3 linked regions of the Coturnix japonica genome follow. The protein of the gene in region 2 purifies or fractionates together with the protein of the main gene of each other region. This does not show direct contact. Links are inferred from orthologs where the notes say so. Each region holds a gene or a part of one and is shown on either strand. Other genes may lie near its edges.

What was found. Proteins that work in one complex are often made in the same cells at the same time.
Region 1: the proteins of LARP7 (region 2) and NAT10 purify together in Homo sapiens (affinity purification with mass spectrometry; 3 studies listed by BioGRID and IntAct, with this or other methods). This does not show direct contact. The link is inferred for Coturnix japonica from reciprocal best matches to the Homo sapiens genes LARP7 and NAT10.
Region 3: the proteins of LARP7 (region 2) and CDK9 purify together in Homo sapiens (affinity purification with mass spectrometry; 15 studies listed by BioGRID and IntAct, counting the BioPlex papers as one, with this or other methods). This does not show direct contact. The link is inferred for Coturnix japonica from reciprocal best matches to the Homo sapiens genes LARP7 and CDK9.

Annotation. Positions count from the first base shown.
Region 1 is NC_029520.1:6,323,963-6,328,854, reverse strand, and holds the start of NAT10 (RNA cytidine acetyltransferase), read left to right. Parts: upstream 1-1,913; 5' UTR 1,914-2,054; coding exon 2,055-2,162; intron 2,163-3,106; coding exon 3,107-3,198; intron 3,199-3,852; coding exon 3,853-4,024; intron 4,025-4,314; coding exon 4,315-4,437; intron 4,438-4,892. UniProt on the Homo sapiens protein: RNA cytidine acetyltransferase that catalyzes the formation of N(4)-acetylcytidine (ac4C) modification on mRNAs, 18S rRNA and tRNAs.
Region 2 is NC_029519.1:51,170,646-51,175,212, forward strand, and holds the start of LARP7 (la-related protein 7), read right to left. Parts: upstream 3,218-4,567; 5' UTR 3,125-3,217; intron 993-3,124; 5' UTR 992-992; coding exon 784-991; intron 1-783. UniProt on the Homo sapiens protein: RNA-binding protein that specifically binds distinct small nuclear RNA (snRNAs) and regulates their processing and function.
Region 3 is NC_029532.1:3,652,132-3,657,040, reverse strand, and holds the start of CDK9 (cyclin-dependent kinase 9), read left to right. Parts: upstream 1-1,930; 5' UTR 1,931-1,973; coding exon 1,974-2,065; intron 2,066-2,370; coding exon 2,371-2,452; intron 2,453-2,874; coding exon 2,875-2,965; intron 2,966-4,819; coding exon 4,820-4,909. Other genes in the region: SH2D3C (SH2 domain-containing protein 3C), read right to left, coding at 1,092-1,131. UniProt on the Homo sapiens protein: Protein kinase involved in the regulation of transcription.

The sequences.
Region 1 (4,892 bases), on a different chromosome or scaffold from region 2:
GTAGATTATCTGATTAGGTTTGAGGTTACCTTAATGTATATTGTTGTATAGAATGGGCGAGCTGTACTCTTCCCAAATGGCATTTGAGTAATGACTTTGGAAAGGGAGGTGTTGAAATGGCTTTAACCCTAGGCAAATATTCAAAGTGTGATAATAACAAATAATAAACAAAAACTTCCTGTGATTAACTGCAGATAGGGCAAAAACTTCGTAATCCAGCAGAATAAGGTAAATGATCAGAAGATTTTTGACCTTCCTGGTCTTTATTTGAAGGTCTGGCAGTAGCCGAGCCAGGTAGCTGATTTCTTCTTTTTAAACCATTTCTTTGCAATTATTATTCCTCAGAAATGCTTATCTGAGATGCAGATGTTAAGCATCAGTGGGCAAAACTGTGCTGTAATCTTCTGATTTCTCCTTATCTCAAGTCTGCTGTAGGTAATAAGGGACGTGAAGAAGCTGCTCGTTAAGTTCTGTGAAAGACCATCGGAGTCACACTTTGAAAGCTAAAGCTCCTTCCTCTTGTCCATGCAAAACTCATCTTGAATGAACTTTTTGAGGACTATAAAGATAGGAATTCGTAGATGGAGATGAGGTTTGCAATTAAATGAACAGAACTGCCTCAGTCTTTCAGATCCGCGTACCTTATTGTTACAGTGTTCCATCTGCCTTCTGTGTAGAACAATGAAGGCATTTAATCAGCTGAGCTGACACCATCAGTTCTGCAGATAAGATGGGTAGTTATCTTTTACCTCTGAGTGACCTGAAAATCAGTGCTTTGTTTGAGCTGCAAGCAAGAAGTCCTAAACAAGAAAGTTTTCCTTCTGGGCTTCAAGAGATAGTGGTTTTCTTTTTAAAACTTAAGCTTAAATATAGTTATGATCATCTTCTAGAAAATGCCTTGCAAAACTGCTTTGGGATCCTTGTAATTCTTTCTGTAAATCATAAGGCTACCTTATTCCATCGCAACATCAGAAACTAAGCGTGCAATTAGTCTTATACTAATGTCACATTCCTTACGTTCAGCTGCAGGATTAAGCACAAGAAGCTTTTACGTTACCTTTGGGAATATTCCGTTCTTTAATGTGAGATCAGCACACTCTATGCTCATGAAGAAAGGTAATGACTTAAACTCCTTTTGTTTGGCCGTGATGATTTTTTCAGAGGGGGAGGGAGAAGGTCCTTCAAGCTGTCCCAGCTGCAACTATTTGCATTTTGTGGCATATTAAATGTTTTTCATCCCAATCAGCACATCTTAAAGGATGCAAAGAGGATGTTTACTGTTAGCACTGCACCTGGCTGTTTGGGGATTGATATTGCATTCAAATAATCTAATTTAAGCATTAGGGAATGTAACCTGAGGGGAAAGCTGTAAGTGGGCTTTTAATGAAGCTTGAAGACTATACCTGAAAGAAAGCTCTGACCCTCATCTATTTATATAAAGATTTAGAGGCAGCATCTTGGATTTCTGTCTCTTTCTACATAATTTCATAATCTGGGTATGTTGGATTTCAGGTGTGGTATCACAGAGCCTCTGATAAGAAACTAATTTCCTAAATGGCTTATCTAGGAGGTGCTGTTCTATTTGTTTTCTTAGGCTTTTTAATATGATGTGATCAGTGTTGTTTGTGATTCTGTAGGTCTAGCCTTAATGGAAGCAAGGAAAATAGTTTCCCATATTCACATCTTAAAGCCAACTGGAGCAGTGCTATAGAGAACTGTATTAGCAATATGCTGTTCTAACTCAACAGTAATGCTTGTTTGGGGTGAGACTGATGAGTATCAGCTCTTAATAGGATAACAGCTGCACCAGAAGTCATGTTCCTTCAGCCCCCATCCCCCTTTATTCCTTCGCCCCGCGCTGAGGGAGCCGCCGCTGTCAGGCGCTCTCCGGGGCAGCCTCTCCTCGAGGTCCTTCCTGAGCGGCGTCGCTCTCGCCCTGCGCCGCGCGGCTCCCACGTGTGTTGGGGGCAGCTCCGCGGGCGCTGCTTGTGGAACCGGCGGTTTCGGCCGGGACACGGAGTGAGGGGAGAAGGGCCGAGAGCTCGGACGGCAACATGCAGCGCCGCAAGGTGGACAACCGCATCCGGGTGCTGATCGAGAACGGGGTGGCCGAGCGGCAGAGGGGCCTCTTCGTGGTGGTAGGTGACCGCGGCAAGGACCAGGTGAGCAATGAGCAGGGACGCCTCCGCTTGATGAGGTGCTCACAGCACTTCTATCCTGGCCTTTGGTGTCCGGAAAGCAAATGGGATCCTGGGGCTCCATCAGGAGAGGGGTGGTCAGCAGGGATAGGGAGCTGATTGTCCCTCTCTACTCTGCTCTTGTGAGGCCCCATCTGGAGTACTGTGTCCAGGTGTGGAGCCCTCAGTACAAAAAAGACATGGAGATTTTGGAAAGGGTCCAGAGGAGGGCCACAAAGATGATCAGGGGGATGGAGCACCTCCCCTATGAGGACAGGCTGAGGGAGTTGGGTTTGTTCAGCCTGGAGAAGAGAAGGTTGCGGGGTGACCTCATTGCAGCCTTTCAGTACCTGAAGGGAACTTACTGCCAGGAGGGGAGTAAACTCTAAAGGGCTGACAATAACAGGACTAGGGGAAATGGTTTTAAGTTAAAAGAGGGAAGATTTAGGTTGGATGTTAGGGGGAAGTTCTTCACTAGGAGAGTGGTTAGGCCCTGGAACAGGCTGCCCAGGGAGGTTGTGGATGCCCCGTCTTTGGAGGTGTTCAAGACCAGGTTGGATGGGGCCCTGGGCAACCTGATCTAGTAAATGTGTATGTTTGGTGGCCCTGCCAGGCAGGGGGGTTGGAACTACATGATCCTTGAGGTCCCTTCCAACCCGGGTCATTCTGTGTGATTCTGTGTGATGAGGTGCTCAGAGCACATCCATCCTGGCCTTTGGTGTCTACAGGGATGGGGCATCTGCTGTCTCTCTGGGCAACCTGTGCCAGCGCCTCACCGCCCTTACTATAAACATATTCTTCCTTTCATCCACTCTGTTAATTTGAAACCATTTGCCCTTGTCTTGTCTCAGCAGACCCTGCTGAAATGTATGTTGCTCCTTGTTAGCTTATGAATACAATCATGCGTTGATATTTCTGTGTCTTGGCAGGTGGTTATACTGCACCACATGTTGTCCAAAGCAACTGTCAAGGCCAGGCCGTCCGTCCTGTGGTGTTACAAGAAGGAGCTGGGCTTTAGCAGGTAAAGGGGCCTTTTGCATCTCGTGTTGCAGTAGTACTCTGTGTGAAGGGGAAGCTGTGTGGCTGCTCTGCATAGTACGGGCTGATTTGATTATCAGGAGAAACAAGTCTTATTTTTGCAGCAGATACAGGATGCTCAGTTTTCCAGAGCTAAGATTTGGCTTCACTGGTATGGTTGGCATCAGTGCTACGTACTTCTGGTTTCCTTATGTAGTTTCAACACTAACCCTGTTGTCCTGAGCCAATTTCTCCCTCACCTTTCTAATCTCAAACAGCCAAAACTTCAGTGCCTCAGTAGTATGTACAGCTGGGTACAGATGAGGCATTACAGTTGCTTTCATTTCAAAAAGGGGTTTAAAACGTTAGTTCTTAGATTTGCGATCATACTTGAAGTCCAGGCACAAAACTGGGAAGGGTTACTTGAAACTGTGTGATTCCAACCAGATGATTTCTTCCAAAAACAGCTGGTTCAGTGTTGTTTGTGCTGCTCTGGGCCAAAGGCACTGGGGAACATACCCTGAGTACAGTGTTTGTAATGCAAGACTTTTCCTTGGAGCCCGAGCTCTGAATTCCATTTAGACTTGAAACTAGGAATGAGAGCAGAGTCTTCTCAAACCATTTCCCAGAAAAACTTACATGGAGTTTTATTCTCCAGCCACCGGAAGAAGAGAATGAGGCAACTGCAGAAGAAGATTAAAAGTGGAACCTTGAACATAAAAGATGATGATCCTTTCGAATTGTTTATAGCAGCCACAAACATTCGCTACTGCTATTACAATGAAACTCATAAGATCCTTGGTAACACTTTTGGCATGTGTGTGCTTCAGGTAAGGAATTCAGCTTTTTACGTAAAGGATGTTGCACTAGTATTGATTGCTTTGAGTTGAACAGCTGCAGTAATTCTATTTGTTGCTTCTGTTACTTAAGTTTTGATGGCCTTACTTATGAGTTTTGTGGGGGGTCACAGCCTTAGAATTGTAATGGAAAGTTGGTTAATGCAAATGTTAAGTTTAATTCAAACTCTGATAAATGTTTATAGTTCTTCTCTTCTTTTTAGTAGCTGCTATTGCACTTGAGAATTCTAGGCAACTTTAAGGTTTATTTTTTCATTTCCAAGGATTTTGAAGCCTTGACTCCAAACCTGCTGGCTAGAACTGTAGAAACAGTGGAAGGGGGTGGAATTGTAGTAATTCTGCTGAGAACAATGAACTCACTGAAGCAGCTCTATACAATGACCATGGTAAGTTCAATGCAATATGTCTGTTTTACATAGGCAGGTACATTTGGTGATGTTAAGTGCTTAGTTTTTGCTTTTGTTATGGGTTGGAGTCTTCTTTCCATTACTTCTGCTGCTGGTTCTTTCATTTAACCTGGAGTGAGGTTTGTGTTTGTGCAGTTACACCATTCCTTGTGCTGCCAACAAACATAGCTGTGTTTTCTGGCCCAGTGCTAAGTCACCCAGAGCTTCACCATTCCCATGTTTATAATGCCAGTAGGTGAATTAAAGCATTAAATTATTTCTACTTAGCATCTCTGTGCTGCTTTAAATGTTCTGTATGTAGTAGATGTGGCCTTTAAATCAGACAAGAATACGTAAGACTGCACTGAAAAGTCTTGGTGGGAGAAGTATGTTTTTAAAGCAGTATTTGGAATATCTGATTGTCTCAGCAAACAAAGTCAGAATCCAGTCTGGGA
Region 2 (4,567 bases):
GTATGGAATCCTTAAGAAAACAAAGAACACACTTATGGAATCTGAAATGCATTATTTCTTTTGCTGGAAAAGGACTGTCTGTCTCTATAGATACAGCACAACTGATATAATCCATCTGGAGTAACACAATTGAGCAAATATACTGATAGATCATCTTAACCACAAATTTACTATTCTTAAAGCAAAAAGCATAATTGTTAGTGCAGCTAATGTGTAAACTAACTTCTGCTTCAGGATGAGCTGAGTAGTTCCAAAACCAAGCTCTATCTCCTAACCTGAATTCAAATGAACCATGTCAAAAATGGCCAGTAGGAAAGAGACCTATAAAAGCCCCAGTAAAAGCAAATGCACAATCTCTCACATATCAAATCTGTCCAAGCAAGAGGAAGAAAGAATATAAAACTGCAAAAGGAAGTGACATTTTCATACCTGTATACAGCTACCCTACAATTCAAGTACTGTACGTCTATGGAAAACAGTAACCCATGTTTGCTTGCTTATGCTGTTGATTATATTAATAATAATAAAATCATCAATTCAGGTCTCTTAAACAGTCACTACAACTGTTGCAGATGCCTCTAACTTACTTCTACAGCTATTAGTAGAGGAAAGCAAAATAAATGCGTACAGATTCAAAGAACTATTAACAAGCTCATATACAACTGCTTTCTTCTAGACAAGCAAGCATGCACCTAAAAATAAATTGTAACATCACCTGCAATATAGCAAAGAAGAAAATTCAAATCATATCTGTTTACTGACATGCCATTAATATAAACTTACATCCATCTCTGGACTTTTCTATTTGCTCTCGAAGAAATCTATCTTTGTGGAGATTAACATCGCCAAACCAGAAATCCACCTGTTTAGCTATGTCTGCAAGCACCTGCTTCACCCTTGACCTCTTCTTTTTCTCCCTCTCTTTCTTCTGTTCAGTGCTTTCCTCTTCCATGGCTTTGTCTCTTGCAGCTTCAGTCTCCATTCCCGTCATTCTGCCAATCAAAAGTTAAATATAACATTTAAGAAAATCAAAGTACTGTTACAGTATGGAACAAACACTGTAATCCCATACAGTTATTTTCAGAAACTTTATCACATGAAAAGGAGCTTAACTTTACGCATGCCCTACAAAAACATGTACCATTCAGTACTGAGTAATGTTGAAAAATATTAAGTACAGAGAAGGCTATGCTGAAACCTAAGTCTCACAGCTCCTTGCAATGCCCTCCAGCCATAGCAATTCACTGCAGACAGGTTGGTACCAAACCACAGGCTTTCCATTGAAAATCTGTGCTACCGTGTTAATCCAGAAAGCTTCACGAGCAGCCTGCTCTCCCCATTAAGATTACTAAGGAAACATGCACTGTCAGAAAAGCAAGGCTATTAACTAATGTTACTGAATTACTAGAAGTACTTGTGGAGGTAATTAAGCATCCTTCAATAAGTCAAATTCCTCGTTAGCAGAGAAGGAAACAACCTGTTAAAGGGAGTTCACAAAACCCATCTTCAAGTAGATCTTTGCCCTCCTAAAAATAAATATAAATATCCAATAAATCTCACTGGAATAGGCTCCCCAGGGAGGTGGTTGAATCGCCATCCCTGGATGTGTTTAAGAACCGTTTGGATGTGGTGCTCAGGGATATGATTTAGCAGAGGGTAGTTAGAATTAGGGTAATATAGCTGGGATGTGGTTGAATTTGATGATCTTTGAGGTCAAAACTTCTAGGTACATCAATTCAGGTTTTTTTTTTGTCTGGTGTTTCAGCTCACTGGAGGTATACAGTCATCCTAGAAGAAAATGCCAGTCACCACAGCGCTTTACTCAAGCCAAACAAAGCAATACCGGCAAAAGCAGACAGCTTTTAGAAATAAAATTAACACAAAAAATAAAGCGATTAATATGGAAATCATCATTTGAAAGACTCCTCAGCTCGTAAGGAAGCACAAGTACAGCCATCAGCGAGGAAGCTGACATCTGCAACAGGGCAACAATGGAAATAGTCTTCAAATTATTGTGCAAATGTGGCTCCTCAGCCGGGGATCAGTTTCTCTCCCCGCTGTGAGCTGACCACTCAGAACAGCGAAAGGGCAATTATCTTGGAGAGATAAACCAGGTAGAACTCTCCCAACTGAAGTTCAAGCTACATTCGAGCCCTTCAGCAACTTACATTAATTACTAGCACACCGCTTAGCTGAAAGCTACAGTGAGTTCCACCATTACAGGACACTTTCTTTAGTTGAACAGTATTTTATGACCCCGCTAACACATAACGAATATGACTTATGAACGGCAAAGCTTTATTTTAAAAACCCATCTAAAGCATTTCATGTATTTCTAGTCACTCAGGAAACACCAACAGGCACAAGCTGTAATCTGTTCTGTTTTGCTCCTCCTCCTCTCCCATACCCACTTTTAGGCGCTGCTTTAGTGCTCTGTGATATCGAGCATTGATATCAAAGCTCGCTTGCTTACTGTAAGCACTTAAATATGAAGATAGGAGAAGGAGGGATCATATGAAACCTTATGCTATGTTTCCATACAGTAAATGACAATAATTTCTCTTCTGGACAAAACAAACGTTAAGTTTTTTTGTCTTGTGGATAAAATTCAGCACACCTCTGCTTTCAGAGATGTACATTGCAGACTGCCTTGGGCATTCTTTGCTTGGCATAAAGGAAGAGCTGTACCTCTTTTAACTCATTTCTTACCACAGAATCACCCGGGCTGGAAGGGACCTCAAGGATCATGTAGTTTCAACCCCCCTGCCTGGCAGGGCCACCAAACATACACATTTACTAGATCAGGTTGCCCAGGGCCCCGTCCCAACTGGCTCTGAACACCTCCAAGGACGGGGCACTTGTTACACTCCTCCCCTCGCACCCCGTTCCTGCGTGACCAGGGCAGCTCTTTTCAGCCGTTATAGCACTCAGCAGCCCTATTTCCAGGGCGGTGCAGCCGCCTATGCTCCAACTACGGCTCTCTCTTAAGGACGAGCGGCGCCCGCGCTGAGGTGATGCCCACAACCGCCACCCTTACACGCGCCCCCCACCCACAGCACGGCGGCACCGCCCCCTTTTCACTTGCCCCCGCCCCCAATGGTGACCCCCGCCTCTCCCTACTGACCTGTCGCGGGGCGGCGTCACCTCGTGTACCCCGTGTACCCCGTGCCACCCCCCGCCTCTCTCACAGCCGCCCTGTTCTCCGTGCCCTGCCCGACAGCCGTCACGACGGGCGGCCCCGGCGGAGAGCAAAGCACCGCCCGGTGGCGGACGGCGCGCATGACGCCGGGAAGTGTTTGGAGAGGCCGCGCCTGGCGAGGAGCACGTGATTTCTCTCGGCGCCGTCGTTGCGTGGTGACGTCACGCGCTGTGGCGGGAAGTTCGGAGCGCGGCGGGACGGGTCGGGCCGCTCAAGGTGTGTGTGTGTGTGTGTGGGGGGAGCTTGAGCTGTGGGCCGCCTTCGGGCCGTGTGTGGGGGTACGTAACGCGCTGGGTCACGCGTGTGCGTGGGTCTCTCGGCCTTATATCGCTGCTTGTGGGGCTGACGGAGCGCTTGCCCATCTCCTTAGGGCGGTGTTGCTGTGCTGTCACTGTCAGCACGTCGGGGCGCAGCTGTGGGGGCGGACTGCCTGTCAGTTGAGCACGCATGGCCGGCCCGCCGGCTGGGAGCCGGTGAAGCGGTGACAACGTTCTTCTGTTAACGGTTTCTGGCTTTAATAAACAGTGTTTTATGCTGAGCCTTCTTCTGTTCTAGGAGAGTGGTTAGGTCCTGGAAAGGTGCCCAGGGAGTTGTGGCATGCCCCCCTTGGAGTTTTCAAGGCCAGCTTGGACGGGCCTGGGCAACCTGATCTAGTAAATGTGCTATGTTTGGTGGGCCACTGCCAGCAGGGGGTTGGAACTGACACTGATCCCTTGAGGTCCTTTCCAACCCGATCATTGTGTGATTCTGTGTGTTCCTCAGGTTGCGTGAAGTCTTTGTGCAATAAGCTGCTGAAGGGCCGTTCTGCTTATGAAATGTGAAGTTGACTTCTGAGTAGAATTAAGCCAAGGCAATGGCTTCTCAAGAATTTACTGTAAGTTTTTTAACGCTACGCCACTAAATATAAAATCAATGAAACGACACTGATGTGTTATTTAAAATGTTTTTCTTTACGTTTATGGTTGTTTCAACGTTTTGCCCTTTGAAACCAGGTGTTGTACACTCACCAGAAAATGAAAAAATCCAAAACGTGGCAAGATGGAGTTCTGAGGATTAGACCTGGAGAAAATAAGGTGAGTGTCTTTACATTGAAATCATCTGCTAGGCAATCAGTGGCCATTTCAACCACCTGTAAAGCAAAATTGGTTTTTTTTTGTGTGGTTTTTTTTTCTTCAATTCCATTTATTTTTCTTTGCAGGCGATCTTGTTTGATGAGAAAGGACAATATTTGGAGAGTATGTTTATAAAATCCCAGGTATCTTTTATTTGGAGCTTGATTTTTATGCTTATTATTGTGGTTTGCATTTCAAAGTCCAGCTTGTTTTCCGTTATTAACTACTTCTACAATGGTTGTGATGTGTTGGATAT
Region 3 (4,909 bases), on a different chromosome or scaffold from region 2:
GCACATGGGGCACAGCAGCACTGCTCAGCTGGAGGCCTGGTGCTCTGAGTGCCCCCGGGGTTTTGCAATGCTTACACAGCAGGGCTCTGTGCAAAGCCTCTTCCCCTCCAGATTTGCTGGGGCAGGAAGCTGAATGCTGCAGCAGTACCTTGCTAGGAGCCTGGGTGCTGAGGGCCCATGTCCTGCACAGTCTGCAGGGTGCCCCTGCTGCCAAATGGGGCTGCAGAAACCCAGAAGCACTCCTGCATAGCCAAAACCTCATGACCTGGACTCTGTTAATGACAAAACTGCTTCAGGTTAAACATCCCCTCTGCATCCGAGCATCCTCTGCATCTGAGGCTGCTGCAGGGTGGGAAAGCTGGGGGCCTTCCCCATTTCCCCCGCATTCCACCACAATGGAAAATCCCAGCTTGGCCGGGGCCGTGGGAGATGGGTTTTGCTCAGCTCCCGGGGGAGCTCAGGGGTCGGCCTCCCTCCGGCGCCGGCATCAGCATGATGGAGGCAGAGGAATGCGGGGAGCAGCAGTGAAGGCAATGTCCTGCTCAGTGCAGCGCTGGCGGCGTGCAGCCCCATGGAGCCTCCTCCGAGGGCTTTGGGGAAAACCCGAGGGCTGTGAGAAAGAGCTCAGCTCCCTCCTGGTGGGCAGCAGCACTTCCTCTGTGCTCAGCTCCCACCGCTTCGGTCCCGAGCGCGGCTCCATCAGTGCAGATTTATCCCCAGCATCCACCCCATCCCTCTGCTGCAGGAGCACACAGAGGGCTCCTGGACACCACCAGCCCCAGCCATGCAGAGGGGTAAATGCTCCCTGAAAGCTGTGATTTGGGGGATCAGAGCAATGGTTCACCCCTGTCACATGCTGGCAACCAGTGCAAGCAGACTGCTCCCAGTCCAACCCCAGCACCAGAGCCATCAGCACCAGGGTTTGCTCCAGCTGTGGGGATGGAAGCCCCCAGAGCCCCCAGTTTCCTAACAAAACTGAAGACTTCTTGCTAATGAGAGGTGACCACGCTCACACTCACACACCCCCTTCCCACCCACGCCAGCCCAGGTGAGCACCCAGCACCCACCCCCTCCATCCCGATACGACTTACTGAATTTCTTGAAGCCCCCTCGTTTCTGGCCCTCAGCCATGGCTGTGCTGGGTGGAGGCTGCAGGGACAAGTTTATAAACTTGAAGCCTGTCCCTGCCTGCTCCTCCCTTCCTGTCCCCCCTCCGCCTCTCGCTTTGCTCTCTCAATCACTCAGCGCTTCCTCCTCGCTGCTGCCATCTGCTCTTATGGCAGCTGCTGTCCCCGCTATCCCCTGCGGTCCCATCCCTTATTGTCCCTGTGCTCCCATCCCTTATTGTCCCTTCAGTCCCATCCCCTGTTGTCCCTGCACTCCCATCCCTTGTGATCCCTGCACTCCCATCCCATATTGTCCCTGCAGTCCCATCCCTTGCTGTCCCTGTGCTCCCATCCCTTGTGATCCTTGCAGTCCCATCCCTTGTTGTCCCTACAGTCCCCTCCTGGCTGCTCAGGTGCCATTAATGGGATTAATGTGCTTTAGGGCCGCCCTTGAATGGCTGGGTGCCGGCATGGGGCAGGCTGGCAGCTCCATGGCTGGAGGTCCCCATATGGGGCTCAGCTCCATGGTGGAGCCCCAAGGCCCCACTGCACCATGTGCTGGTGGAGCTGTGTTGTCTGTGGGGTCATTTCTATGGGGGATGCAGTGGCCCAGAGCTGGTGGGCAGCCCCAGGGCCTTGTCCTATGGAGTGTCCCTGTATGGCCACGGCCCTTCCTATGTGGGTGACACTGTGAGGGAGGGAACGCGGGCACACAGCTATAGACAGCCATAAAGCCGCAGGGTGATACGGGTTTATCCGGGGTGACAACATGGCGGCCTAAGGTGGACTACAAATCCCAGCAGGCAGCGCGCCGGCGCGCCGGAAATAGCGTAAGGCGAGAGGGCGGAAGTGAAGCCGTCGGCCGGCATGGCCAAGCAGTACGACATGGTGGAGTGCCCGTTCTGCGATGAGGTGTCCAAGTACGAGAAGCTCGCCAAGATCGGGCAGGGCACGTTCGGGTGAGCGCTGCGGGCCTCGGCTCTGCTCCCAGCCCGGGCATGGCTCCTATGGGGCCGATTATCTGCTGTTATTCAGCGTCATGGGGAACAGGCCGCGGCCTGACCCGGGGCCTTTGTGCTGTGGGGGCTGCGGGCCTCGGCCTCCTCCTTATGGGGCTCATGGGGCCTTGTTGTTGTTACATGGGTCTCTCCGTGTTGTTATATGGGTCCTTGTTGTTGTTACGTGGGTCCTTGTTGTTACGTGGGTCTCTCCGTGTTGTTATATGGGTCCTTGTTGTTACATGGGTCTCTTCTTGTTGTTACAGGGAGGTGTTCAAAGCCAAACACCGGCAGACGGGGAAAAAGGTGGCGCTGAAGAAGGTGCTGATGGAGAACGAGAAGGAGGGGGTAGGTGTGAGCTGTGCTGTGCTATGGAGGGGATGGGGTGGGGGGTGGGCTATGGAACATCAGTGTGTATTAACTTTAATGGTGTTTACTGCTGTAACGTGCCAGGTCTTGAGTAACAGCACACAGCACATGGGGGTGGGGTGGTTGTGCTGTGGGTCAATTGGGGCTTTGCCATGTGCTGTGCTCATAGATGGGAAAGGAGGGCAGGTGTCCATGTCACACAAACACCTCCACCTTGTGGCAGAATCCTAAGGGTGGCCAATGAGTTTTGTCGCCCCTGTAATGTTTTGTAGTTTCAATTACTCTTAAATGAGCTGTTGCAGTGCTACTCAAGCAGGTGTCCTGTGCTGCAGCAGTCCAATCTCTCCTGTTCTATAAGCAGATGTGAGCTGCACTCCTAACCTGTGTCTTCTCCTTTCCAGTTCCCCATCACAGCTCTGCGAGAGATTAAAATCCTCCAGCTGCTGAAGCATGAGAATGTGGTGAACCTCATAGAAATCTGTAGGACCAAAGGTAGCTGCCGGGGTCTCATTTGTGCTGTGCTGAGGGGGTGTCTGTTTTCAGCCTTTGTTCTTGGCTCAGCAGGCTGCTGTGTTGCACTGGGGGTGGATCCTCCAGCTGAGCATGTGTTTAATCTGGGGTGACCACACGCTCATCTGTGGAAACTCATTTTGAATGAGTGCTACTGTGCTGCAGCTTGGCTGGAAAAAGCTGTTGTCAGTGCTGCTGGCACATGCCTGTGCTGTCTCAGTGACTGCTGTCTGTGTGCTGGCTGAATGGCTTTAAATGAACCTGCAGCAGGAGAGAATGTGAAACAGAACGTTTTCTGCCTGGTGGTGGTTTTGCAGCTTTATGATGCTGATGCCATTGGGAGCAGGAGCCGTGTTTCTGCAGCTCGTGGAGCTTTGTGCTGGTGACAGCTCCAGCTGGAGACTTGCTCAGCCTCTCCTGTGCATGACAGAACCCCCCAGGCTTTGAGGGCTGGATTGGAAGTGCTGCCACTTCACAGTGAGCAATTCAGTTGCTCTGTGCTGAGCTGCTGTTCCATCTCATCGCTGCAGGCAGTCCCTGGGGGAGGCAGCACGTCTCTGCTGTGTGACTGATGTGCTTAATGCACCTGGCCAGGCTCAGTTTCCAGGGAAATCATTTTAAAGCATTTCCTCATTTTTATATATCCTTCTCTTATATGGATTTGTACTGCAAAAGAGGTTTGGAAAGCGACAGATGATATTAAAGCCTGCCATGCTGTAGTCAGTTCTTTTTGGTTAAATACAATTGATAATAGCACCTTTCTGCTGCTGTTTTTTACACTCAACTGGTAGGAATCTCAGGCCTAGGTCTGGGAACTTGGTGTTGCTCCATAGAATGTAGGTAACTGTCGGTTTTTGAACCAGTAGGTAGGAGGAAAAACACTGAGTTAATGTTTAATTCTTGGATTGATTAAACCAGCTGTGATGACTGCATGCTGCTGGCACGTCTCAGGTCAATATTTTTGTAGCTGTGTCAGATTGTTTGGGTCTTGTTTAAATTCTACTTTTCTACCTTGACCTCAGATTCAAGTGAAAAACAGAAACATTTCATTGACTGTTCTCAGACTTTAAGCTTTTCTCTTTTTATGTTGGAAGAGGGGTTGTGAGGACGGCACCACTGTCATGTGCAATCTAGAAAGCATCCTCCAGGCTGCATTTACTGTGCAGGCTGAGCTTAGCCCACATTTTCTGGTTCTTGCTGCTGATCAGCAGGTTTTGCTGTGCACAGCTGATCAAAATCAGCCTTTTGTTTTGGTGTTTTGCACGTGTGCTCTAGGAGCAAGATTGAAATTGATTGCTTCATTTGAGGTTTCCTGTCATTGACCATAAATTGCAATTGAAGTTGGGGTTTTAAATCATATTGATCTGCATCAGTCTGTTCTCATAGACACCATTTGAGGTTGCAGTAAACTTCACTTTCTGATGTTGCTTTAGAAATATTTGCTGTATTCCTGTGAGTCTGTCTTTGCCTGTTCCTCCTCTAATGCTGATGCAATGATTGTGCTCGGCTGTCAGCTGTGTGTGTGCACCCACGGGCTGCAGTTTGTAGGCACAAAACCCCACAGCTGTTAATACACGCAGCACAACACACAAATGAAGCTTTCAAAGACTTTTTTGCTCTTGCTTTGCCTTTCTCATGATGTTCACTACCACTCTGATCCTCATCCACTGTTGCTTGTTTTGCTGTTTTAATACCTCTTTTTGAAGGCTCTTGAGGCATCTGGAGTCCCTGTTTTGATGTTCCTCTGCCGTGAGGTTTCACCTAGTGAGTGAGGATGGATGGAGGTCAGGAGGAACTAAATCCCTTGCTGACTGTTCCTCTTTGCCTCTCCTGTAGCCTCTCCATACAACCGCTGCAAGGGCAGTATCTACCTGGTGTTTGACTTCTGTGAGCACGACCTGGCTGGACTTCTCAGCAACACCCACG